4 linked regions of the Arabidopsis thaliana genome follow. The main gene of each other region encodes a partner of the protein of the gene in region 3 in a complex. Each region holds a gene or a part of one and is shown on either strand. Other genes may lie near its edges. The genes, in order: ARP2, ARPC1A, arpc2b and ARPC1B.

The links.
Region 1: arpc2b (region 3) and ARP2 share a complex: the UniProt entries of both Arabidopsis thaliana proteins name them as parts of the arp2/3 complex.
Region 2: arpc2b (region 3) and ARPC1A share a complex: the UniProt entries of both Arabidopsis thaliana proteins name them as parts of the arp2/3 complex.
Region 4: arpc2b (region 3) and ARPC1B share a complex: the UniProt entries of both Arabidopsis thaliana proteins name them as parts of the arp2/3 complex.

Annotation. Positions count from the first base shown.
Region 1 is NC_003074.8:9,951,972-9,957,837, forward strand, and holds ARP2 (actin related protein 2), read right to left. Parts: upstream 4,012-5,866; 5' UTR 3,814-4,011; coding exon 3,772-3,813; intron 3,483-3,771; coding exon 3,372-3,482; intron 3,254-3,371; coding exon 3,119-3,253; intron 3,031-3,118; coding exon 2,959-3,030; intron 2,880-2,958; coding exon 2,801-2,879; intron 2,680-2,800; coding exon 2,630-2,679; intron 2,549-2,629; coding exon 2,445-2,548; intron 2,357-2,444; coding exon 2,288-2,356; intron 2,190-2,287; coding exon 2,126-2,189; intron 1,722-2,125; coding exon 1,653-1,721; intron 1,558-1,652; coding exon 1,474-1,557; intron 1,378-1,473; coding exon 1,319-1,377; intron 1,234-1,318; coding exon 1,167-1,233; intron 1,079-1,166; coding exon 995-1,078; intron 897-994; coding exon 816-896; 3' UTR 508-815; downstream 1-507. Other genes in the region: TCP20 (TEOSINTE BRANCHED 1, cycloidea, PCF (TCP)-domain family protein 20), read right to left, coding at 5,839-5,866. UniProt on the Arabidopsis thaliana protein: Functions as ATP-binding component of the Arp2/3 complex which is involved in regulation of actin polymerization and together with an activating nucleation-promoting factor (NPF) mediates the formation of branched actin networks.
Region 2 is NC_003071.7:13,151,246-13,157,532, reverse strand, and holds ARPC1A (actin-related protein C1A), read right to left. Parts: upstream 4,745-6,287; 5' UTR 4,636-4,744; intron 4,361-4,635; exon of another isoform or gene 4,295-4,360; 5' UTR 4,087-4,294; coding exon 4,017-4,086; intron 3,647-4,016; coding exon 3,558-3,646; intron 3,363-3,557; coding exon 3,286-3,362; intron 3,183-3,285; coding exon 3,088-3,182; intron 2,972-3,087; coding exon 2,902-2,971; intron 2,644-2,901; coding exon 2,574-2,643; intron 2,339-2,573; coding exon 2,265-2,338; coding exon of another isoform or gene 2,246-2,264; intron 2,178-2,245; coding exon 2,135-2,177; intron 2,038-2,134; coding exon of another isoform or gene 2,014-2,037; coding exon 1,932-2,013; intron 1,797-1,931; coding exon 1,708-1,796; intron 1,614-1,707; coding exon 1,528-1,613; intron 1,371-1,527; coding exon 1,307-1,370; intron 1,108-1,306; coding exon 1,007-1,107; intron 885-1,006; coding exon 826-884; intron 732-825; coding exon 664-731; 3' UTR 501-663; downstream 1-500. Other genes in the region: COQ3 (coenzyme Q 3), read left to right, coding at 5-124; TBL43 (TRICHOME BIREFRINGENCE-LIKE 43), read right to left, coding at 5,116-5,419, 5,584-5,742, 5,831-6,006, 6,097-6,274. UniProt on the Arabidopsis thaliana protein: Functions as a component of the Arp2/3 complex which is involved in regulation of actin polymerization and together with an activating nucleation-promoting factor (NPF) mediates the formation of branched actin networks.
Region 3 is NC_003071.7:14,146,870-14,151,600, forward strand, and holds arpc2b (actin-related protein C2B), read right to left. Parts: upstream 3,034-4,731; 5' UTR 2,901-3,033; coding exon 2,842-2,900; intron 2,617-2,841; coding exon 2,550-2,616; intron 2,452-2,549; coding exon 2,244-2,451; intron 2,163-2,243; coding exon 1,993-2,162; intron 1,863-1,992; coding exon 1,785-1,862; intron 1,660-1,784; coding exon 1,527-1,659; intron 1,432-1,526; coding exon 1,340-1,431; intron 1,253-1,339; coding exon 1,196-1,252; coding exon of another isoform or gene 1,136-1,195; exon of another isoform or gene 1,095-1,135; coding exon 1,052-1,094; coding exon of another isoform or gene 1,026-1,051; exon of another isoform or gene 953-1,025; coding exon 735-952; 3' UTR 513-734; downstream 1-512. UniProt on the Arabidopsis thaliana protein: Functions as actin-binding component of the Arp2/3 complex which is involved in regulation of actin polymerization and together with an activating nucleation-promoting factor (NPF) mediates the formation of branched actin networks.
Region 4 is NC_003071.7:13,345,441-13,351,882, reverse strand, and holds ARPC1B (actin-related protein C1B), read left to right. Parts: upstream 1-1,883; 5' UTR 1,884-2,095; coding exon 2,096-2,165; intron 2,166-2,531; coding exon 2,532-2,620; intron 2,621-2,815; coding exon 2,816-2,892; intron 2,893-2,995; coding exon 2,996-3,090; intron 3,091-3,206; coding exon 3,207-3,276; intron 3,277-3,534; coding exon 3,535-3,604; intron 3,605-3,839; coding exon 3,840-3,913; intron 3,914-4,000; coding exon 4,001-4,043; intron 4,044-4,172; coding exon 4,173-4,254; intron 4,255-4,384; coding exon 4,385-4,473; intron 4,474-4,570; coding exon 4,571-4,656; intron 4,657-4,825; coding exon 4,826-4,889; intron 4,890-5,122; coding exon 5,123-5,223; intron 5,224-5,336; coding exon 5,337-5,395; intron 5,396-5,502; coding exon of another isoform or gene 5,503-5,570; exon of another isoform or gene 5,571-5,835; coding exon 5,836-5,906; downstream 5,907-6,442. Other genes in the region: INH3 (inhibitor-3), read right to left, coding at 651-974. UniProt on the Arabidopsis thaliana protein: Functions as a component of the Arp2/3 complex which is involved in regulation of actin polymerization and together with an activating nucleation-promoting factor (NPF) mediates the formation of branched actin networks.

The sequences.
Region 1 (5,866 bases), on a different chromosome or scaffold from region 3:
TAATGTCTCCAAAACTCGCCGGAGAAGTTTGAGCAGTTTGGAAATAATCTTCGTCGTGGTTAGATTTGGATGAACCACCGGGTGATTTCTCTATAACTTTATGGGCCTATATCTCTTTATTGGGCCAACGCTCATAATGTTTTATATGTCGTTGAGGTAGTTTAACAGTCACCAACACCAACGTTTCTGACACGGTGTTGCCGTTATTGGGCCAAAGCCCATATTAAGACCTCAAAAAGTTTTTACAGTTTTTTATTTTGGGATTGTAAATCAGTTTTTTTTGTTTCTAGTTAATTTAAAAGTTTTCAAATCCTTTTTTACTCATGGCAGGTTAGGTAATCATTTTGTCTTTGATCTAGCTTGAAGCTGCTGTACTTAGACTAGCTGCAGAACATGCAGTAGAAGGAAGCTGGTTCCATCAATTCAGAGTTGTGGCAATCTTTTGGGTTTTAACAGAAAACAATAGGGATCTACCTTGTGTGGCAAGAAATAGGGTTCCTTTTCAAAATTACAAATAATCTTTCACTGTTTTGACTCTGTTTGCTTACTCAAGAATTAAGATATATGCATTTCGTCTCTTCTCGACCTTTTGGCTTTGGTTATTACACAATATATTAGTCTCAACATTATTAGTTAATACACGTTTTTCTGTATATCCCACCAATCACATGTCGAATTTTGGATCCCTAACTGCAACCAATTGTACTCAAACTTTGAAACCTAAAATACTGAATTCACAAACGGAATTAAATCATCCTGACGGTAGTAAAAAAAAGGGGTACAAGTACAAGTATGAGTTCTGCGTTTGAAAGTTATTAAGCTTGGCTCATTTTATTCAAACAATTAATTCCTTCTTCCATATAGTCCTCTCTATTGATCCAGAACTCTGGTGCGTCCTGCAACATCGAATCCAAATTCTCTTAACATCATAACACAGACTAAAATTTCATGCTTTCGTGTTAAAAGAGAGAATAGCATTGAACTTTTCTCTTACCTTCATGATTCCTGCAAGAACAGCACCTCCGAGGTATACCATGTGTTTCCTTCTCGGTGGATCTTCGATCCGCAATCTGAGTTTCTGATTGATAAGAAAAACGAAGATAAATGTTAAAAACTGAGCTAATGACTGACAGTGATCATGGCATTATCAGAATCATCTTTTTTACCTTCAAGCCATCTTTGTTTCCTTTTAGAACTGTGTCGAGATACCGATCCTGTATTTCTTTCTCAAGACTGAAACAAACAGAGAATAAAAGACAATGAAACATAAAACAATGGAACTTCTTGCTGGGTTATGATGAAGAAAAAATATACGAACCGGCTAGGTAATCCTGGGTACATGGTGCTACCTCCGCTTAAAACTATGTGTTGGTAGAGCTGTGAAAAAAGAGCAAAGGGTTTAAGACAGATAAATGATTAGTTTTGTTGGATCTTTCTTTTGAAATACCAAGCAAGCGTAAGAGTCACACGAACCATCATGCGGTTATCAATATCCATTTCTTGAATACATCGGAAAACCATGTCTGCCATTCCATCACCTTCAACATCAATGAGTTCCTGAAAAAATATTTGGTTGTGATCAGCCTCGAGATTCTTGGAGGGTTGAAACTATTCCAAAAGAGAAATTAGCAGAGGACGCGATGAAGGTTTACCGGAGTAAAAAGCGCTTCAGGTGCTTGGAATCTTTCAGTGCCTACTTTGATAACCCTCCCATCTGGAAGCTGATCACAGTTCAAAAACACAACGGGTTAGTACTCTGGAAAAAAAATAATTTGGTGATAATATCAGCTTTAGAGGCTGCAACTGGCACAAGTATGAAACTTTATCGACTATCGGATGAAAAATCCCAAACACAGCGCCCAAGAACAGAGAAACGATGTCATGAAAAGAAAAGATGATAATATCATTCTTTCATTACCAAAAAGAACAAAGGAATGATGGCACGAATCTTTAAAGTTCTCTACAGGCTCAAGTTCGCCAAGAATCTGCTATCTATTTAGTTCTGATCATGAGTTTGGATTCCTATTAGCTTAACGTACACTAGTTTCTGTTTCTTGCCTCTATTTGCCATCGAAACCTTGAAAATTCACACACCTGACAGGTTCATACCAGGAGAGAGACTTACAGTATAATTCTTAACAAGGATAGTTGTCTCAAGGCCAAGCTGAGATTCTCTCTTGTAATCATAACTGCAAAAAAAGACAAAACAAATTGTGTTTATTTCCTATTCTAGTAATGCATTACTACACAGATATTAGAGGAAAGCTGAGAAGAGGTCTTTGCATGCCTTATATAGCAGAGCTTCTCTTTAATTTCCCTAACCGTCTCAAAGTCAGCTGTTTTGTTCATCGCATATCTGTTGAACAAACAGTCTTTTAGTTTAGCTAATTTAAAACATCTCAACATCATTAAAATGAATGTGAGTCTATGAATCAGTTTCTCACCCTCGTCGAGATAGTAGATCAACGAGATATGCTGTTATGTGTCTGCCAGCAACATTCATTCTTTTAGTAAGATGAGGGAACGAGTAGCCGTCAACCACCGGAACCTAAGATGTGAGGCGAAGACGGTTAACTTCTCTATTATAAGCAATATATGATCTAAAAAATTACAGAGGTTTATAGCTTACCACATGAGTAACACCATCACCAGAATCAATAACCAAACCAGTTAGCAAACCTGAAACCAAGAGTTCAACACATGAAGAAAAATATCAGGGAAGCACACATAAATGCTATTTACAGGTGACTATCTAAACACACGAAAGAAAATCTAAACCTTCAATAGTCTCCATAAGCACCTTGAGCATAGAGAGTCAAAACGGCTTGGATTTGAATGAAAACGCCAGCGAAATTGTATTTCTCAAACATTGTCTCAATCTGTTTTATAACATAAAATAAATCACTGCTCCAACAACCATCAAAGCAACTCTTAACCAAAGACTTGATAATATCTTACCATTTTTTCACGATTCTTGGACGGATTAAGAGGTGGATCCGTGAGCAATATCTTACAGTCAGATGGATTGATCTGTTAATAACAAAAAGGGTTTAAGAGTAAGTCAAGACACATGGAACCGAGACAAAAATGGCAAGAAGAAGCAGGAGAAGAAACTTACTTTCAATTCGTTATAGAAAGCATGATCCCAAACATGTTCCATATCATCCCAATTCTGCACAATACCATTGTGGACAGGATAATTTATATCCAATTGATGCCGGAGCTCAGAGCAAGTCTCCCCAACAACTATATCCTAAAATGAAACAAAACCAAAACGTATATGAATCCGAATTACGCATATCAGCTCAGTCAAAACTCAAAAGGCTAACAATGATCTGGTTTTGCTTATTTAAAGTCACATATCTACAAACCTTGACTTGTTGCTCCATGAGTGATTCTTCATACCGAAGCAATGGCCTTCCCACGACACAGGGGAAAACAGACGTTGGGAAATTCTCTCCAGCAAATCCACATTTTACATACTGAAAAATTTAATAAGAGGCTCACAATTTGTTCCCATCACAAGAAACTCAAAACTTAAGCAACCCATTATGAGATTTCTCATGTATTAGTTTTGATTTCAATAGAAACACGATCTTACACTATGCTAAGACATGAAAGTTTTCAAATTTTGCAACTTTAAGACAACTAGATCCTAAACAAACTCAAAAGTGAGATTTTTAACGAAACCCAGATAGGAATGGAATGATTGATCAGATTCAACTAAAGTTCGGAGTCTGAAACAAGAGATATCAGAGAGAAGAAGCTTACACCGGTGCCGTTGTCGCAAACGACGACGTTTTTGTTGTCCATCTTCTCCGATTTCTATAGAGACTACAGATTTTTATCGAAGTACAAAAATTTCGATTTCTTCGATTCGATCTCTCAGGGAACAAAAGAAAAAACCTGTCTTTGAATCGAAGCGAAGAATCACTCTTCTCTACTTGTTTGGTCGCGATCGAGAAAACATATTTGCTCTTCGACAAACAAAAAGCAGCTGTTTCCTCGTTTCTTTATAAGAATGCGCGTCGTTTACTCTACGTGAAAACGTCACGTAGTGCAAACGGTCAATACATAGAAAAAATTATTAAATACGTTACCCCTTTTCTCGAATTATTGAGATGGAGTTAACTTGGTTGTGGGTATTGATGGGCTATCTCAGGCCCATATTAGGTCAAACAGATAATTCTGTTTACTTGTATAACAATCTTCTAGATGATCTAAACTAAGAATTAGTAAATGATCATCATGCAATCCCTTGATCAGAGATTTCAATCACTATTAGGGTTATGTTACGAGAAAGATGTTACTAGGGTTTTGGTACGAAGTTGGGATATCAATCTTCTTCTAGGTTTTTTTGTTGTCTCTATGTTGTCTCAATACTAAAATTTATTCTACATAACATGTTGTAAATTAAGTTCCTGTCACAACATGTTATGTATCAGTCACCAATATAGTAAAAATAAGATAAGACTTTTACAGTTTCACACACACAAGTCCAATGACTTGTTCGATGTAAAATCAGCTTTCATGTTTTCACTTTTATATAGGTTAATTAGGACACACACTGTCTCTCATGCTTACTGGAACATTGCTAAGCTGCTTTATTTAGTTCTGGTAAGAACAAAACTGCATGTCTTAGACCTCAAAGTAACCACGCGTTTCATCTTCACTTCTGTATATTGAAATGGAAGAATTCGTAGACAAGTCAAGCTCCTTGCCCAATGTGTCGAAGAGAATGGAAATTAAAAGAGTAAGCAACTTAAGTCACGCTCTCATCATGAGGGAGGCTTTGGAATGGATCTATTGGAGTTGTATTTGGACCATAGTGTTGAGTTAGATCATTGCTCAAAAGGGAAAGAGAGAGCTTTGTGAATGTTTTTGAATTTTCTTCACTTGTTTTGATTGGTTGGACAAATCATAGAGATCAAGCAACTTTTTGACTCGTTAACCTCTCTCTCTCTCTCTCTCTTAGTCTCTTTCCTTAGTTCCGTCAAATTCAAGTCAAAATGAGTAAAATGATATAAACTTTTTGACTCGTTGAACAATTTATACTTATCTTTGAAAAAGCTTGCAAGGCAAAGAGTAAATGCAATACCAGCTTATTTGGTTCCCAACTGCGAAGGGTTTGTACCTAGTTCAAAACCTTCCCACAGTTAACGGCACACTCAGGGCAATAACATGAATGTAAGTAAGAGTTAAAGAATACAACGTTACCATCATTGTGAAATCCATTGCAGCTCAAAGCCACTGAATCAGAACATGCAGCGAAGTGTTTTACACTCGACTCTAAACGAAAGTCTTTAACTCATTCAGAGAGATCGAACGAAAGAGAACAATCTTTGGAGATGCAATAGAAGAATACTGAGCAAAAGAGAGCTATAAATCTTCATTCTACAAATATGTGATGGAAGACAAGTATACATTACCATTGTTGTACTATCTGAAAAAAGCCGGTTTCTTGATATTCAAAAGCAACAAAACTCAGAACAAGTAAAAACAAGCCTCTCTGCAACTTAAAGACTCCAAACAAAAAAATCTCTGGCTGTGTGTATTCAACAAACTCCACCTGCAAGTTCAAACAACAACTGCCAAAAAATTGTCACAAACACTCGGAAAAAAAGGTTTGAAGATTCCACTCTCTTGTATCATCATCCTCAAATTGAACTCACCTTGTGTTTTTGCAGAGGTTTCAATAAGTATAGATTATCACTCTCACTCAGTATATAACCTTTTCTTTTTCTTCTCCATGGTGGTACAAATTACAACAATATTATCACAAAACAAAAGCCAAAAGCTTTTTCAAATCCAGAAGATACAAAAAAAAACCCAATCCTTTTAACGACCTGAGCCTTGAGAATCATCT
Region 2 (6,287 bases), 1.0 Mb from region 3:
GCAGGTGAAAGAGATAGCTGGATTTGTGTACAACCCAATAACAGGAAGATGGTTATTGTCAGATGATATTAGTGTCAACTATATTGCTTATGGGACGAAAAGGAAGGATCTTGGAGACATATAATCAATCGTTCCAAGTCGTGTTTCTCTGCATATCTGCTTCTGAGTTACAACTCTAGTTCATGCTTTAAAAACTAGGTACTCTGGAAGTTGCTTAGGACGAGGACAGTAGTTGTTTTGCAATAAGTGAGAAACATTCAAAGAATATTTGGTCTTCTGAATCACACTTCTGTCATCTGATAGAAGATTAATGTTTGTCGATATCTCGTTTTGTGGTAAATATGGCATAGTTCGGAGGACCAAAGCTTTTTGCTTCTTCTCAAGAACTTGAAAATTTTGCGAAATTGTTGTGTTTGGTTCAATATGGACTCCTTTCGACACAAAGCTGATATTACTATATATAAAAGGTATTACAAGATGCTAACTAAATGAATCAAATCATGAAGCCAAGAAACTTATTAATACCTGCCCTTACACAAACCAAGAAAATAAGGCCTTTTATTGTGGCAGTTTACAAAGTGAAACAATTACGAAATTGAAAAAGTAGTTTAAACTTAAGTAAAACCTTGCTTGTGAGCCAGAATTGTTTTATTTGTGTGTTTATTAAAACTGATTGCCAAGTTCTTGTTCCATGTTCTCCAGATCCCATATGGCAACTTTGCCATCCAATCCTATAAATAACAAACCGTTATGCGAGTAAATGAAACTGCTGGTTTGTTTTTTGAGAACTGAATCGGCTAATTCCATTTTGTATTAGTGACTGACCTGAAGTGCTGAATCGCATTACTTTAGGACTCCCTGCTTTGCTCAGAGACACAATGGAACTGCAATTTTCAGGTAACCTTCCATGTCAGGTTCTTAATAGACAATCGAAGTAAAAGAGTTAATGAGGCAGGTTTCTGGCAAATGATTTGGTAAAAGAAAAGTTAGCTTAAGAAATAATTACTTTATGCAGTTATCATGAACACCTCCACGTGATTCAGAAGCATCGTTGGCTGTTGTGGACTTTGATTGACTGCCGTAGAATTTTCCAAATGCTTCAGAAAACTGAAAAGATAACATAATGAAAAAAAGGATTAGACAAAACAGTACAAATAATGCAAGTGGAAAGTTCAAAGTAGTAAACCCAAGGAGAAAAAAGGAGCAACTACACTAACCCGAAAGATTACTACTATCTTAGAGGAACACTTCAGGAATAAGCTAAGTTCACTCATATTTTATTCAAGAAAGAAAACATGGTATGTACCTGCGAACTGTAACTGGAATTTGAAGATGCTGCTTTCTTCTCTCCGATGTATCTGATAAAGCTCCTGCAGACCATAAACAAAAACTTGTAAACAAGGCAATCATCGGTGTGTGGATGATTTCAGAAATAACTATCCGGCCTGAGAGCTAAGGAGAATTAATGAATTGAAGTATTTGATTGTCTGGAAATAGCTAAGAAAGAGAAAACTAAGAGTTACACACCATATTCCAGTATCATCTGAGGCAAATACCATCGGGTTGCTGTCATATCCCACGCCTATCACCATTTTCTCAGAAATAAACAGGACCTGAAGATAGCAAGTTCCCGATAATATATCAATTCAGGATATAACACATGAGAACACTTTCTCAAAAGAAAAAAAAGAGTGGATGCTGACCCACATCACGAAGAGGCAAATCTCGAAATGCAACGCTTTGGGCTAAAGGAGAAGGACCAACATCATCAACAAAGTAAATCATGGAGCTATGACCTATAAACAAGATTGCATGAACAAGGGAAGTGAGACGGAGTGTAGTAAAAATTATGCAACCAAGGTGAAGTTCCATTTTTATAATTCCAGTAGAGCTCAATGGACAAACATCTTAAGTTTTAAGGATATTCTGACCTACATAAGCTAAGGTGTTTCCACTTGGAGACCATTTAACACCAAATGCCCAAGAATATGAGAGATCAAGCTGAAGAATTTGCTGTTTCAACAGAAAAAAAGCTCCCTAACATTAGATAAGAGAGTGAGTAGAGGGAACATATATATGGCAGAAGTGGTATACTATTTACTAAAAGAAGGAAAGCCAGCCAAACGAGTCAAACCTCCCCAAATTTCGTTTCCGCTGGTGAGCCTGCTTTTGAATCCCTGTATCAGCCCATTGAAAGACAAATAAGAAACGGCCTCATGTTTGAAAAAATGTTTTAAAAGTAGACGTTCAAGTAATGAGCATACTTTGTGTCAACTCCTTTGATAAATGTTGAAAATACCCGACATTTTCCATCTGTTGATGTCGTTGCCAGAAGAACCTAATGCATAACAGACAATCAGAGAGCACAGCAACATAAAAAAGCATACGAGAAAAAATGATTTAGAAGATTAACTAGTTTGTGGAGATTGATATTCTATTTTTAGGGATCATGTACTCTATACTCAATCTGGTGGCCAACTTATAGAATATTTTTGGTAGAGAATGCTTTTACAGAGAGCCTGCTTATTATTTTAACTACATGAACTACAAGAGGTTCTGTTGATTGCACGTACATTATTAGGATGCCAAGCAACAGATGTGACTGAAGATTCGTGCCTTTTCCGGATTAGCTTACTGACCCACCTGAAAACAGTAAAGCCAAGCAATGTCAGATACTAAAAGTTTACATGAAAGTATCTTTCTAAAATCTCTAAACAATACACAGTTATGCATGCCAAGATAATAAAAAATATGATTGGTGCTAATATCATGCCAGTACATAAGACAAAATAATATCATTACATAGACCAACAACACCATTCGTAGCAAAGAAGTCAGGAAACTTGCCAAAGAAAAAATCAAGGACTAATAATGAGAATTAGGAGCAGAAGAAGAAAATACCAGTTATTCTCTTGCTCATAATAGCAAATACAAACAGTTTTAGCACCACTTCCAACAGCAAACTTGTTCTCTATGGGTATTGAGCAAAAAGATGAGAACATAGATTAGAAGCTGTAGAAATTATAGGAAAATTACACTACATATTACGGAAATTAAGCTTAAGAACCAGAAAAATTAAACATTTACCTTTGGGGCTCCATTGGACACAAAGTGCAGCACGATTTAGTCTAAGAATAACGAGAGTTGGTACCCATTCAGCTCCTTCCAGGCTCCAGACGTACCTTCAAGAAGCATTCTAAACTCAGTTCAACGAACGAAAAAAAGTGAAGGACTAAGATTAACAGGTTTGGAGTTTCTCAAAGTATATCAAAGGTAGCAACTTACGAGTTCCTGTCATGAGAAACAGTGACGATTTTGTTGGACTTTGAGCTCCAATCTATTCCAGAAACAATTTGGTCATGCTGCAACAAGACGAACAATAATCATGAAGTTGTTGTAAGGGAGATTCAAGCTGTCTATACAACACTTATCAGCGACAAGTGATCAGTGAAATGAGAATACATAAATATACGAAAGTAAGGAATTCCCAAGAAGAGAAAGCAAAAGGAATGCAAGTTCAAAAGTTACAGAAAGAGAGGGAGAGAGAAAGGTTTCACCTTTTGGAGGACATGTAACCTCTCCCAGTGGTCTTGAGACAATGATTTATAGATATGAACTTCAGTGTTGTTAGGACAGAGAGCAACCACTACCAAGAAAAACGAAACAAATGTCAAAGCACATAAATGGTTACAGGCTTTAGTACAGACGTTAAATCATTTGTAACAATAGATTTGGTTCATCTGTTTAGAAAAGCGCATCTACTAATGTACAATACTAGATACCAAGTGTTCCTAACAAGAGACACCGACAAACAGACATATAAAACATTGACTCGAAGAAATTTGATTACCAAGATGTATAAGAATAACACAAGTCAATTTAGTTGTATCATCTATCTATCTTCCCAGCCAAACTAACTATAGATAGATCCTCCTCATTTATAATTCTAAAACGGAAAAAACGACGGAAGAGAGAAAGAAGAGAATCACAAAATCAGAGAGGTGTTAGAAACATACTGGAGAGATCAGGACTCCAAGCATGGCAAGTGATTGACTCAGCGAAACGATGAACATCCACCACTGCCATGAGTGATCCTTGTTGTCCCAAATGTGTTGTAATGAAGACAGTCTTTTCTCTCAAATTGACATCCACAGATTCCTAAAACGGAGTCGTACGGTGAATAGATGGACAGATAATTATGATGAAACGCCGATGAGATCCGGAGGTGGACGACGACACAGTCGCAAACGTGAAGTGAAAGAGACAGATGTTTTTTTTTTTTTTTTTTTTTTTACTAAAGCCCCAATTTTTATGACCAGATCAATTTCAGTTTTACTTGGACCTTTATTTTTGGGCAAACCAGCATAATAATAAGGAAAAAATCGAATTATTTTTATTTTTAAATCTATAGTTCTGTAATCTGCATTAGTTTTGTTTTTGTTTTTTCCGATAAAAGGCTTAAGTTCTGCATTAGTTAAATACATTAATGTAGATAAATGGATTCGATCCAATTCATCCATGTAAAAATAGAACTATATCTCACTATGAGTCTATGAGTATAGAGTAACTTATAAAGTAATCTGAAATTTTTAAAAAAATATTGATTAGTAACTTTTTTCTAAAGTAATGTTTTACTATTAGTTTTTTCGTTTTTTTTTTTGTATAAGCTTTTGAATCATTGACCCAAGTCAAGGGGCTTGCACCACTATATTAGATTTTGATTTAGCATAATCCAAAAATAACTTAACCCCAAATCATTGTACAAAGTTATTATATAAGCTACGCTAGTTATCCCCTCTCGTGGAATAAGGTTTACTTCTAGTTTTGGTCTTCCTCTAATCTCTCACTTAGAGATTCAGGACACATATTTAGTCCATTCAATTATAACGAGATCATAAGGTTATATTCTTGCAAATTCTTCTCTTATAAATTGTTCGACCAGTCAAAGAATCTTGTTCTCATTTAAACATTTTGGTTGACAAATGAATTTGAAATTCTAAATAAACATGTTTATGACATAAAATAAATGTGTAAAACAACACAAACATGGTTAGGTCATAAATAAATGTATAAATCATATAATGAATTTAGTTTTGTGTCAAAACCATCAAAATTTTAAGAATGAAACAGCTCAGAATACAAGAGCTGGTTCCAGCTATCCGGGACTCCAGAGAGACACCAATGGCTACAATCCGCCATTCTGTGACCGCCAAAACCGTATACTGAAGGATGTCCATCTTTCCTTAGCTGAGACATCAATGTCACATCCATTAACCGCGCCTGATTCTTCATCGTCTTTATCACTTTCGCCACCACCATCTCGGCTGCGTGCGGCCCAGCCAGGTAACTCGATCCCATAATCGGCTTTGTTTCTCCTATGCAACTGCCTTTGCCACCTTGTTTCGACCATTCCCTTGCCCTGTAACATTATGTACCATTATTGTTAACAATATCAACATGAAATTATTTGGTTCTAACGAAAACTTATAGACTAATCCAACATATATCAATCGTGTTAAGTTTTTATCGTTGATTTAATGTATGTATCGAATAAAAAAGAAGTTATATAGAGGTAGAACTTACCGGCCATGGTCCGGAGAAATACCTTGGAAGAAGACTTTGGTTTTGGAAGGATCAATATTTTGATCAATCCACTTAGCCCAAGTCATCATTGCTTTCTCATATGCCACTAACCGGTCCATGTCTTTAACCGTTACATTCCCGGACATAATTGCGTCCCATCTGCAACCCCAAATGATTACATTAGTTAGATACTAATAAGTCCATAGTCCATAGCAAAATATGTTTGACGACATAAAGATGATTTTACGGTTGTTTTCGGTCTGTGTGAAGCCACCAATGCCAAGAGTTGAAGACCAAAACGTCTGCGGTTTTCCACAACGAACCACTCGAGATTGAGTCAAGCTTCATCACTCGCTTCGGTGGGGCTCCGACTATATCCACAAGAAACGCGTTTCTTGAAAACATAATCGAAGAATTGTAAGCCTGCATTGCATGCATTTAAATACGAACCGAACCAGAATTATTAAACCGGATCAATACCGGAACGAGTTTGATAAAGTTAGAAAACGTTACGGGGAATGAGAAGACGGAGAGGCCAGAAGGGGAACGTGTGGATGTGGAATTGGCTTTTGGTGCGGCGTTGTGGAGCAAACACGTGAGAGATTGCCATTGGTTTAGACTCAGTGAATCTCCTACGAACATCAGTTTCTTCCCTTTCATTATCCTTCCCAGAAAATCTAAGCCGTTGAATCTGCACCATTCAT
Region 3 (4,731 bases):
GCACATATATACTTAACTATGAGTATCAACAAACCGACCGGTTGAATACATATTAATTATGTAGACATGTAGTGATGATCAATTGATCATATACCCTAATTTGAACTTTTTTGCTCGTTATGATTTAGGAGCTAACGTTGCCGACGTGCTCAATGTGTGAAGTTTTAGGATTGAAATTTATTGATTACAAAAGAAAAAAAAAGGACGAGTACTGTGACCACAATATGTGGTCACATGCACGTGGCTGGAACCATTTGCTGATTTGCGTGTGCGGTGGAAATTAAAAAGCGGGATTAAGAGATACCAATAGATTGATGATTTCGTATAAGTGATAAGCAAAAATAATAAAATCATAACTTAACTAAAGTATTTAAATTACAAAACCTACAAACATTTATGTATTACCATTTTTTGGCCGTATCTCAGTGTGTTGATTGGTTACATTTTTTTTTTTATCACATGATGATTGTATACATTGAAAAGTAAAAAGAGTGAATGGTACTTGTACAAAGCTCTTACGTAACATGCTGCATTCAATGCCAACTTTTGATTAGGTTTATTTTTGGTTTACCAAATTATATCCATAAGTTTATCTGATAACGTTTTTTTTTGTTGTCAAGATATTCATTAACGTATAATATTGCTCCCCGAATTCAATTTTAAAGCATGTTGACAAAGAAAAAAAACAACAACACCGAGCCTCTTTCTTGAGACTTTCCAAGTTAAGTGATTACTTAGTCCAATTTTGTGTATGATTTATCTGATGGTTTCGAAGAGAATTTGGGGAGAGATATCCACCGCTGATTGAATCGAAACCGAGCACAACCGTTGATTTTGATCCGGAACTTGCTTATCTTCACTCTCCTTGTCATCTCCTTGCATCTTTGTTTCATCATCAATTTACCTTTTGGTACCTTCACAAACTCCTTTACGTATTTGCATCTTCCGTTTTCTATATAGAAATTAGAGAATGGAAAAGAAAAAATGATAATATAACTTTTTTATATATACAAACCTAAGTAAGGTTAAAGGTAACAAAAAAAAAGGATACCATTTTGAGCAGCTTCTTCTTCTAGGCTTGTGTTATTTAGCAGCTACGTATATAATGTAAATTTACAAACATACGTTATTTTGTTTATGAAATGTCAACTATTGTTGTAGATTCGTGTGTGTACGTAATATATGATAAAAATACCTTAACTAAAGTTTCCATTCTTTTTCTCATCCGTCTCTGTATGTACCCTCTCGAGCACTATTTAAACAATACGAGGTTGAAAATTTTCAATTACAAGAACACAAAATCTATTATATTTTATTTGAAAAACTAGAACTAATGTACCTTAATATGGTACTTAGCGCATGCGTAGAAATTTAGCAAGTTCCAAACCGTTTTGTCCAGTCTCTTTCCTTCAATGTGCCGTGAAGTAATATCTGCAATGAGAATTGTTTGAACTTTGACATTTAAGAATACTAATTAAAGATGTTGGATTAAGTTTTATAAACAGATAAAATGACACAAAACGTACCAAATGATACAAAACCAGAATTGGTGGTCAAGTCTTGAACCGGTTCTCCTCTAAGTTGGAGAGGAGGAATTGGCGACCAACTACATTGTGGGGCTTTTCCCATATCCTTTTGGCTTCCCACTTCAACTAGTTCCTTTTTATATGTATTGTCCAATTTGTTTTTAACATAAAAAGATAAAATTTGACAAAGGAAACCTTAGTGACGTCTCAATGCAAAACTCTAGTCCCACCCATTGATTGTATGCATTTTAGTTGTACCTGGAAGAATGACGTGGCGATGACCACATCCGAATTGTCTTTAAAATTCATCGGAAACACGGCCGTGATTTTTTCCGGCTGAAAAAACATTCAAAGACTTATTCTTATAGTTATAGTTATTCGATAAATTTTAGACGTTGGTCTCTATCCATTATTATATTTAGTTGGATGTAACTCAGATAAACGAATAAAACGCGGTAAAATAAACCTGTTTAAAGACGTAGAAAGGTTCACTTGGGTGATAAACAATCCTGATGGGCATGTTGTTGATCGATCGTGAATCATCTTGAAAATTTAAACTTCTCAGCATCTCTTTTAGTTGGCTACTTAATATTATCGCTTGTAGTTCAGAAATCCTTGTAATGATTTTAATCGCTTCTGCATTTGAATGAGTAAATATGAAAAAAACTTATAATAACTAAGTAGCGGGAAAAAGTACATTTCAATATTGAAGCTTACCTTTGCCACGTGGTATATTATCAAGGTTTAGGCCAAGGGTCAATTGAAACCCTAATCTTGGTGGATCAACGATGTCAATCACACCAACTCCAATATTCTTAATCACCTCATAAGTGTAACTTGAAATCTCCTTCAATGTCACTGCTCCTTGTGTCTCAAGCAACGTCGACGTCGATACATGCACAATATTTGGATCCGAAACCGAGTACTGCATGTCCAAATCATATATATTTCATTTTGTAAGAGCACATATAATCGAATAAGAAAGAAGATTATTATTAAAAAAAGGAAGCCCCAAAAATATACCTTGATATGGTATTCAATCGAACCAAACTCATGGAAATGTTGATCGACCTCAATAGGTTTTTCAGCACTGCCATGGATTCAATAACCTTATGTTATAATGTCTCACATTGGCATTGGATATGAACTTATTGCCAATTGATTTTTAGTTGGAAATTAATGTTTACTAACCATACTAACAAAATCATTTCAAATAATCTTGATTGAAGTTAAGCCGGAAAATATTGTTAGGTACGGAGGTAGCTAAACCGGGAATGAAATTGGACCAGAGAATAAAAGAGAGAGTGTGGCTTACCGGTATATCTTGAGGAGTGTTTCTTTCAACGTTGGAGAGGCTCTTTCGAGATATGCCATTCTTGAAACACCTCGGAAGAAACTTGAGGGTACAATAATTATAATTTACAATGTCATCAATCTATAACTTTTTATGTGTGCATTGCACATATATCTGTGTGAGAGCCTAATAAGTGCGCTTTTTCTTTCGTGCATTGGTGAATTGTTGGATGTTGAGTAAAATGTCAGTTTAAATTTGCAATCATTTTTTTATCTTTCTTTCTAAGAAAACATTTTAGCTATTGTATCTGCCACTGAAACGTAACATGTGGATGTACCTGTGAGCCGAATATAAACATAGGCCCGTTGATAAAGAGTTTTAATGCTTTCTCAGCCTTCGGACTAAAGCTGTGGGATCCGATGGACGCCGATTCGCACGGTCCCGTGATGACACAGAAGGAATTTGACAGAGGTAGAATGTGTTTTTTCCAAAAACTTAGATTACATCTAAAATATCGAAACCATGGAAAATGAGATTTTCATATATTTTTTCCCTGATCTTTATTCAACCTCAAAGGCAAAATTCTACTGTTAGAAACATAAATGATTGTTTTTCTATTGTCATTATGTGGACATTAATCTTATCATTAAAAAAGCAATACTTGGAATGTAATCCAAGCTAATCCAATGAACATTAAGCGTCGGTTTCACACAAATCGCAAGCTATTATTGACTTCACCAACATATAGTTATTAGTTTACCCCACATACTAAGTCACAATTCTTCTTTCTATTCAGTGTGGACGTGAGGTTTACTTAGGGTAAAAGAATGGTCATTGTAAAACCATATTATCTGACATGAATTTATAACTTATTTATTAATATTATTTTTTTATGAAACAGGAAAATAAAATCTTTTAGCAAAATGTGTCTTTGTTATGATGACCATCAATATATAAATTCATGTTTTATTTATATAGATTCATTTTGATAATACAACTTGTAAAATACCCTGATTTGTTATATAATTTAAAACTATAAAAGTAATCTTAGTCACATAAAACTATACATATGCTAAGATAACTAGACCTCTATCAATTTAATTTATTATCAATTATAAATCTAGAAGTCTATATTGAATTTGTCAACATGAAAAATTCAAAGCTTATTAAATTATAGAACACATAAAAGCTCAACAAGTTGTTTAATTAAAATATTGTTGTTTAACCAAAAAAACAAGTAATTAAAAAGTTGCAAGTTTGCTAATTAAAAATGATTAGTCAACGGCCGAAGTATAATCTCATAACGAGATTACCTACCGTGTGCCAAAACAAGTTTTAATCTCATCTACAAAAATATCTCAAGTTTGATCTTAGCCGTTAATTCCTTATTTAACGAATTTTCTTTTCGCACACTTTCTCGACACCCAATCAGAACTCAGCTGAGAGAAACGCGTCTCTCAGATTTCAATCCTTCACTTTCCCTTTTCTTTTTTTCTCGTTATCGGATCAGAACAAAATTTTGGGAAATTCGAGGTTTCCCTGGATTGTTGGATTCGATTATTGTTGAAATTCGATATGGGTGTTTGTTGTTTGTGTTAATCGTTGTCAAAGTTTTGATTTTTTTCCTCGAGAAAATTTGAGATTTTTTCGTTCGTCTAATCGAGAGAAAACGCAGCCATTTTACTACGTAAGTAATGCTTTTTCTCATTTCCAGTTTTCTGATTTCGTATCCTGATCTTGATTCATGATCCAAGCGTTGACTTTGATATATTAGAATTCACAAATTTTCAGATTTTGTGATTAGGGTTTGTTAGATTCATATTTATCTTTTGTTTTGTATCAGGATCAAATTCAAACCCCTGAATACTGAAGCGAAATTGAGGTTAATGGTTAGGGAGCTTAGGGTTTATG
Region 4 (6,442 bases), 800 kb from region 3:
CACCAATGACTGATCTAGGACTCCTCAAACAACCCTCATAAGCCACATTGGCCGTGCCCATCAGTCAAATGCAGATCCAATATCCCTGGAGCCAACTAAATAACCCGCATCGATCAACCATCATGGTCATAGAGCCACCGATCTAGCCAACCAAACCATCCGACCAGTAGCTACATCGTTCTGCCATATCGGTCATATTTTTTTATCGATCCTAATCACAACCCATCTGATCCAGAAGCTGCATTGATCCCAACATCGGCCAATGAAACCCAAACATTATACTTACCCTTTGCAAATCCTATTCTACTGGGAAAATAATATAGTGCTCATCTTTTAATTGATGAAACCCGAACATTGCATTTTGAGAAATAGTATGCAGTCGCAAAAGCAAAAGCAAAAGCATATTCAAATGTAGAAAGAAAATATAACATCCTTGTAATTCTTTAACTAATTAGCAATCTTCAATGATTCACATCATTTTCAACAGAGTATGAAGGAGTTAACATTGCAATGAATCTGCAAATTACTTGTACATATACATAACGCCCAACCAGGGTTAGATAGGAGAAGAGACCAAAACAACAAATGTGTGTTCTTCCATGATCTATTAAAAAGCTTCAATATATAGTAACGTGAAAAAACCTGATTGATTAGTCAACGGCTTTAGAATCATTAGAAGAAGATGCCTCACCAGATTCGGAGTGTTCATGGTTATGATCACAGTGATGGTTGTTATCATCTTCTTCTTCACTGTCATCCTCATCAAAAGGCTTCTGTTTATGAAAGATGCAACACTTCTTCGAACTCTTCTTCTGCATAAACTCATTGTCTACAGTCCCATCTTTCCATGAAACTTTCTTCTTCTTCCGGTTCAACCGAAGCACTAATCTTTCAGTAGGTTGTGATTGAGAAACAGGGTTTTCTAATATGACAGAAGTTGTTGCTGAAGAGGAAGGCCTTGTTGCTGTGCTCATAGCTGAAGATTAGCTTTCAAAATCTGCATAAAAGACTAATTTCATAAGGTACCAAAATACAAGAACAGAGAATAAAAGTTCTTAATAGTAACAACTAACAACATGCTTAAGAATGACAAGAGCTAAAGATAAAAACTAAGACCTTAAACAAAATCGTAAAACAGAACAAAGCCTTTAGGGTTCATTCTTTAGGTAAACAAACCAAACAGATGCTATTTCTCTAACCCTAAATTCATTGCCTACGAGATCTGAACCCTAATCATTCCTAATTCCAGGGGATAAACACAAATCGGTGATATGAAATTGAGAATCAAATGTTGCAGTAAACAATAGAGAGACCTAGTTTCGATCGTAGAAACAATAGCGAAACCTAAACCTAGGGGAAAAAAAGATTCAAAGAATCAAATCGACGAAGAAGCAAACCTGTGAATCCCCAAGGAGGAAGGGACGCTTGTTGAATCGAGAAACTTTTTTTTTTTTTCGTTTTGTTTTTTTTTTCTTTCGCCGATGGAGAAATTTAGTCGCTCCAACCAAAAAAAAAAAAAAAAAAAAAATTCGGTCTAATTTTATATTTATTTTCTAAGAAATGTTAATATATATATTAGAAAAAAGACTAATACAGTGTAATTAATTTTGAGAAAACTATAATGTTAACTTATTTGGGATTCGAAAACTGAATATATAGAATGACTTTATAAGTTACTCATACTCATAGTGAGGTTTAGTTCAGATTTTTACATGGATGGATTTGATTAAATCCAATTATGTATATTTAAGTATTTAACTAATGCAGAATTTAGATCTTATTTTTTTTTTTGCTTATTATTATGCTGGGCCGCCCCTAAGACAGGGCCAAGGAAAATAGAAAATGATCTGGTCATAAAAAATTGGGCTATAAGAGTAAAATAAAACACACAAACAAAAACATCCGTCTCTTTCACTTACACTTTCACTTCACGTTTGCGACTGTGTCGTCGTCAAGCTCCGGATCTCATCGGCGTTTCATCATAATTATCTGTCCATCTATTCACCGTACGACTCCGTTTTAGAAATCTGTAGATGTCAATTTGAGAGAAAAGACTGTCTTCATTACAACACATTTGGGACAACAAGGATCACTCATGGCAGTGGTGGATGTTCATCGTTTCGCTGAGTCAATCACTTGCCATGCTTGGAGTCCTGATCTCTCCAGTATGTTTCTAACACCTCTCTGATTTTGTGATTCTCTTCTTTCTCTCTTCCGTCGTTTTTCTGTTTTTAGAATTATAAATGAGGAGGATCTTTAGTTAGTTTTTCTGAATTGACTTGTGTTATTCTTATACATCTTGGTAATCAAGTTTCTTCTAAATCCCTATAATTGAGAATTTTCGAGTCAATGTTTTATATGTCTGTTTGTCGGTGTCTCTTGTTAGGAGCACTTGGTATCTAGTATTGTACATTAGTAGATGCGCTTTTCTAAACAGATGAACCAAATCTATTGTTACAAATGATTTAACGTCTGTACTAAAGCCTGTAACCATTTATGTGCTTTGACATTTGTTTCGTTTTTCTTGGTAGTGGTTGCTCTCTGTCCTAACAACACTGAAGTTCATATCTATAAATCATTGTCTCAAGACCACTGGGAGAGGTTACATGTCCTCCAAAAGGTGAAACCTTTCTCTCTCCCTCTCTTTCTGTAACTTTTGAACTTGCACTCCTTTTGCTTTCTCTTCTTGGGAATTCCTTACTTTCGTATATTTATGTATTCTCATTTCACTGATCACTTGTCGCTGATAAGTGTTGTATAGACAGCTTGAATCTCCCTTACAACAACTTCATGATTATTGTTCGTCTTGTTGCAGCATGACCAAATTGTTTCTGGAATAGATTGGAGCTCAAAGTCCAACAAAATCGTCACTGTTTCTCATGACAGGAACTCGTAAGTTGCTACCTTTGATATACTTTGAGAAACTCCAAACCTGTTAATCTTAGTCCTTCACTTTTTTTCGTTCGTTGAACTGAGTTTAGAATGCTTCTTGAAGGTACGTCTGGAGCCTGGAAGGAGCTGAATGGGTACCAACTCTCGTTATTCTTAGACTAAATCGTGCTGCACTTTGTGTCCAATGGAGCCCCAAAGGTAAATGTTTAATTTTTCTGGTTCTTAAGCTTAATTTCCGTAATATATCATGTAATTTTCCTATAATTTCTACAGCTTCTAATCTATGTTCTCATCTTTTTGCTCAATACCCATAGAGAACAAGTTTGCTGTTGGAAGTGGTGCTAAAACTGTTTGTATTTGCTATTATGAGCAAGAGAATAACTGGTATTTTCTTCTTCTGCTCCTAATTCTCATTATTAGTCCTTGATTTTTTCTTTGGCAAGTTTCCTGACTTCTTTGCTACGAATGGTGTTGTTGGTCTATGTAATGATATTATCTTGTCTTATGTACTGGCATGATATTAGCACCAATCATATTTTTTATTATCTTGGCATGCATAACTGTGTATTGTTTAGAGATTTTAGAAAGATACTTTCATGTAAACTTTTAGTATCTGACATTGCTTGGCTTTACTGTTTGCAGGTGGGTCAGTAAGCTAATCCGGAAAAGGCACGAATCTTCAGTCACATCTGTTGCTTGGCATCCTAATAATGTACGTGCAATCAACAGAACCTCTTGTAGTTCATGTAGCCAAAATATTAAGCAGGCTCTCTGTAAAAGCTTTCTCTACCAAAAATATTCTATAAGTTGGCCACCAGATTGAGTATAGAGTACATGATCCCTAAAAATAGAATATCAATCTCCACAAACTAGTTAATCTTCTAAATCATTTTTTCTCGTATGCTTTTTTATGTTGCTGTGCTCTCTGATTGTCTGTTATGCATTAGGTTCTTCTGGCAACGACATCAACAGATGGAAAATGTCGGGTATTTTCAACATTCATCAAAGGAGTTGACACAAAGTATGCTCATTACTTGAACGTCTACTTTTAAGACATTTTTTCAAACATGAGGCCATTTCTTATTTTTCTTTCAATGGGCTGATACAGGGATTCAAAAGCAGGCTCACCAGCGGAAACGAAATTTGGGGAGGTTCGACTAGTTTGGCTGGCTTTCCTTCTTTTAGTAAATATTATAATTCTTGTGCCATATATATGTTCCGTCTACTCTCTCATCTAATGTTAGGGAGTTTTTTTTTCTACTGTGGCTTTGTTGAAACAGCAAATTCTTCAGCTTGATCTCTCATATTCTTGGGCATTTGGTGTTAAATGGTCTCCAAGTGGAAACACCTTAGCATATGTAGGTCAGAAAATCCTTCAGACTTGGGATGTTTTTCCATTGCGCTCTACTGAAATAATACAATGGAACTTCAACTTGGTTGCAGTTTTTACTACCATCTGTCATACTTTGCGTGTTTATGTAATCATGTATAGGTCATAGCTCCATGATTTACTTTGTTGATGATGTTGGCCCTTCTCCTTTAGCCCAAAGCGTTGCATTCCGAGATTTGCCTCTTCGTGATGTGGGTCAGCATCCACCTTTATTTTACTTTTGAGAACCTGGTTTCTCCGGTGTGTTATGTCCTGAATTGATATATTATGGGGAAATTGCTATTTCAGGTCCTGTTTATTTCTGAGAAAATGGTGATAGGGGTTGGATATGACAGCAACCCGATGGTATTTGCTGCAGATGATACTGGAATATGGTGTGTAACTCTCAGAAATATCTGCTTAAAATTCTCTTTCTTAGGGGTTTGCATACTATCAAATTTTCAGTTCTTTTATTCCTCTTAGATCACAGGCCGGATTGTTGGTTCTGAAACGAACCACTACCAATAATTGCTTCGTTTACAAGTTTTTGTATTTGGTCTGTAGGAGCTTCATAAGATACATTGGAGAGAAGAAAGCGGCATCTTCAGGTTCCAGTTACAGTTCGCAGGTACATACCAAATCTTCTTTCTTATATTGCAATATGTCTGGTTTTAGCCTTTTAGTGAAAAAAATATGACTGAACTTTAACTTATCCCTGAGTTGTTCCTCTAAAGATCGTAATCTTTGGGGGTTAGTGTAGTTCCTCTCTTTCTTTTTTTCTTGGATTTACGATACGACTTTCCACTTGCATTATTTTGTTGTGTTGTGTCTGACACATCTGTTCATTATGTTATTTTTCAGTTTTCCGAAGCGTTTGGAAAATTCTACGGTAGTCAATCAAAGTCTACAACAGCCAACGATGCTTCTGATTCACGTGGAGGCGTTCATGATAACAGCATAACGTAATTGTTTCTTTATCTAACTTGGCTTGTACCAAATCATTTGCCAAAAAACTGTCTCTTTAGCTCTTTTACTTGATTATCTGTTAAGAGCTGACGTAGAAGTTTACCTGCAGTTCCATTGTGCCTCTGGGCAAAGGAGGGAGTCCTAAAGTTATGCGATTCAGCACTTCAGGTCAGTCACTAAATTTAAATTTATATAACCCTTCATGGAATCACCCGATTCAATTCATACAAAATGACAGGTTTCATTAGCTCGCATTTTCGGTTTATTATTTATAGGATTGGATGGCAAAATAGCCATATGGGATCTAGAGAACATGCAACAAGAACTTGGCAATCAGTTTTAATAAAATCTGGATCAGTAGTCAGCTTACTTAATTTGTATATCAGATTTTGTTTCGACTAGCCTTTTCACCTTTTTCCAATTTCGTAATTGTCACACTTGGTAAACTGCATAATAAAGGCCATGTTTTCCTGGTTTGTGTAAGGGCAGGTGTTATTAAGTTTTGAGCTATGCCCTTGTCTCTGGATCTTTGTAATATCTTGAATGCTCTATCATTTGATTCATTATACGAGTTGGTATCTTGTATATTAACATAATAACATTTTCAGCTTTGTGTCGAATGAGTTCTCCGGACAACAACCACAGAAATGAATGCTATATATCAACAAACTTGAAATGAATCTTTTCATCTGTGATGATATATACAATCCAGAATGAAGCTGACACTAGTATCATCTGACATAATCATCGGGGAATCAAAAGCTCCGCTTAATATCTGTGTAATCAAAACATGGCTTACATCAACTGAAGCACGTACGTACGGTCTTCAGGGGTTAGAAAATTTGACCACTGGTATGTCCTTTAGGAAGCTGCAAGGTGACTTTATACACAGACCAAATGTGAAACCAAGAACACATATCGGGAAAATTCCAAGTACGTGCAAATGTTTTCACTCAATTTCTGGACCACGTTCATGAAGTATATAGCATTGTTTCAGAGAACTCTTAACTCTTGATTCCCGCCCAAACTGAACTAAGTGAAAGTATTCCAGCTGCCTTAATTCACAGATTCTATCTTGATCTAGCATCTGCGGGGAACAACTCGTATTTTGCATTTGTTTACAAGCATATTGTGATCTTCGTAGCTTTCAGAAAAAGCACAACGTCTTAGAGATTGCAGACTATATAGGTAAATTTTTCTCCATTGGGTGTCACT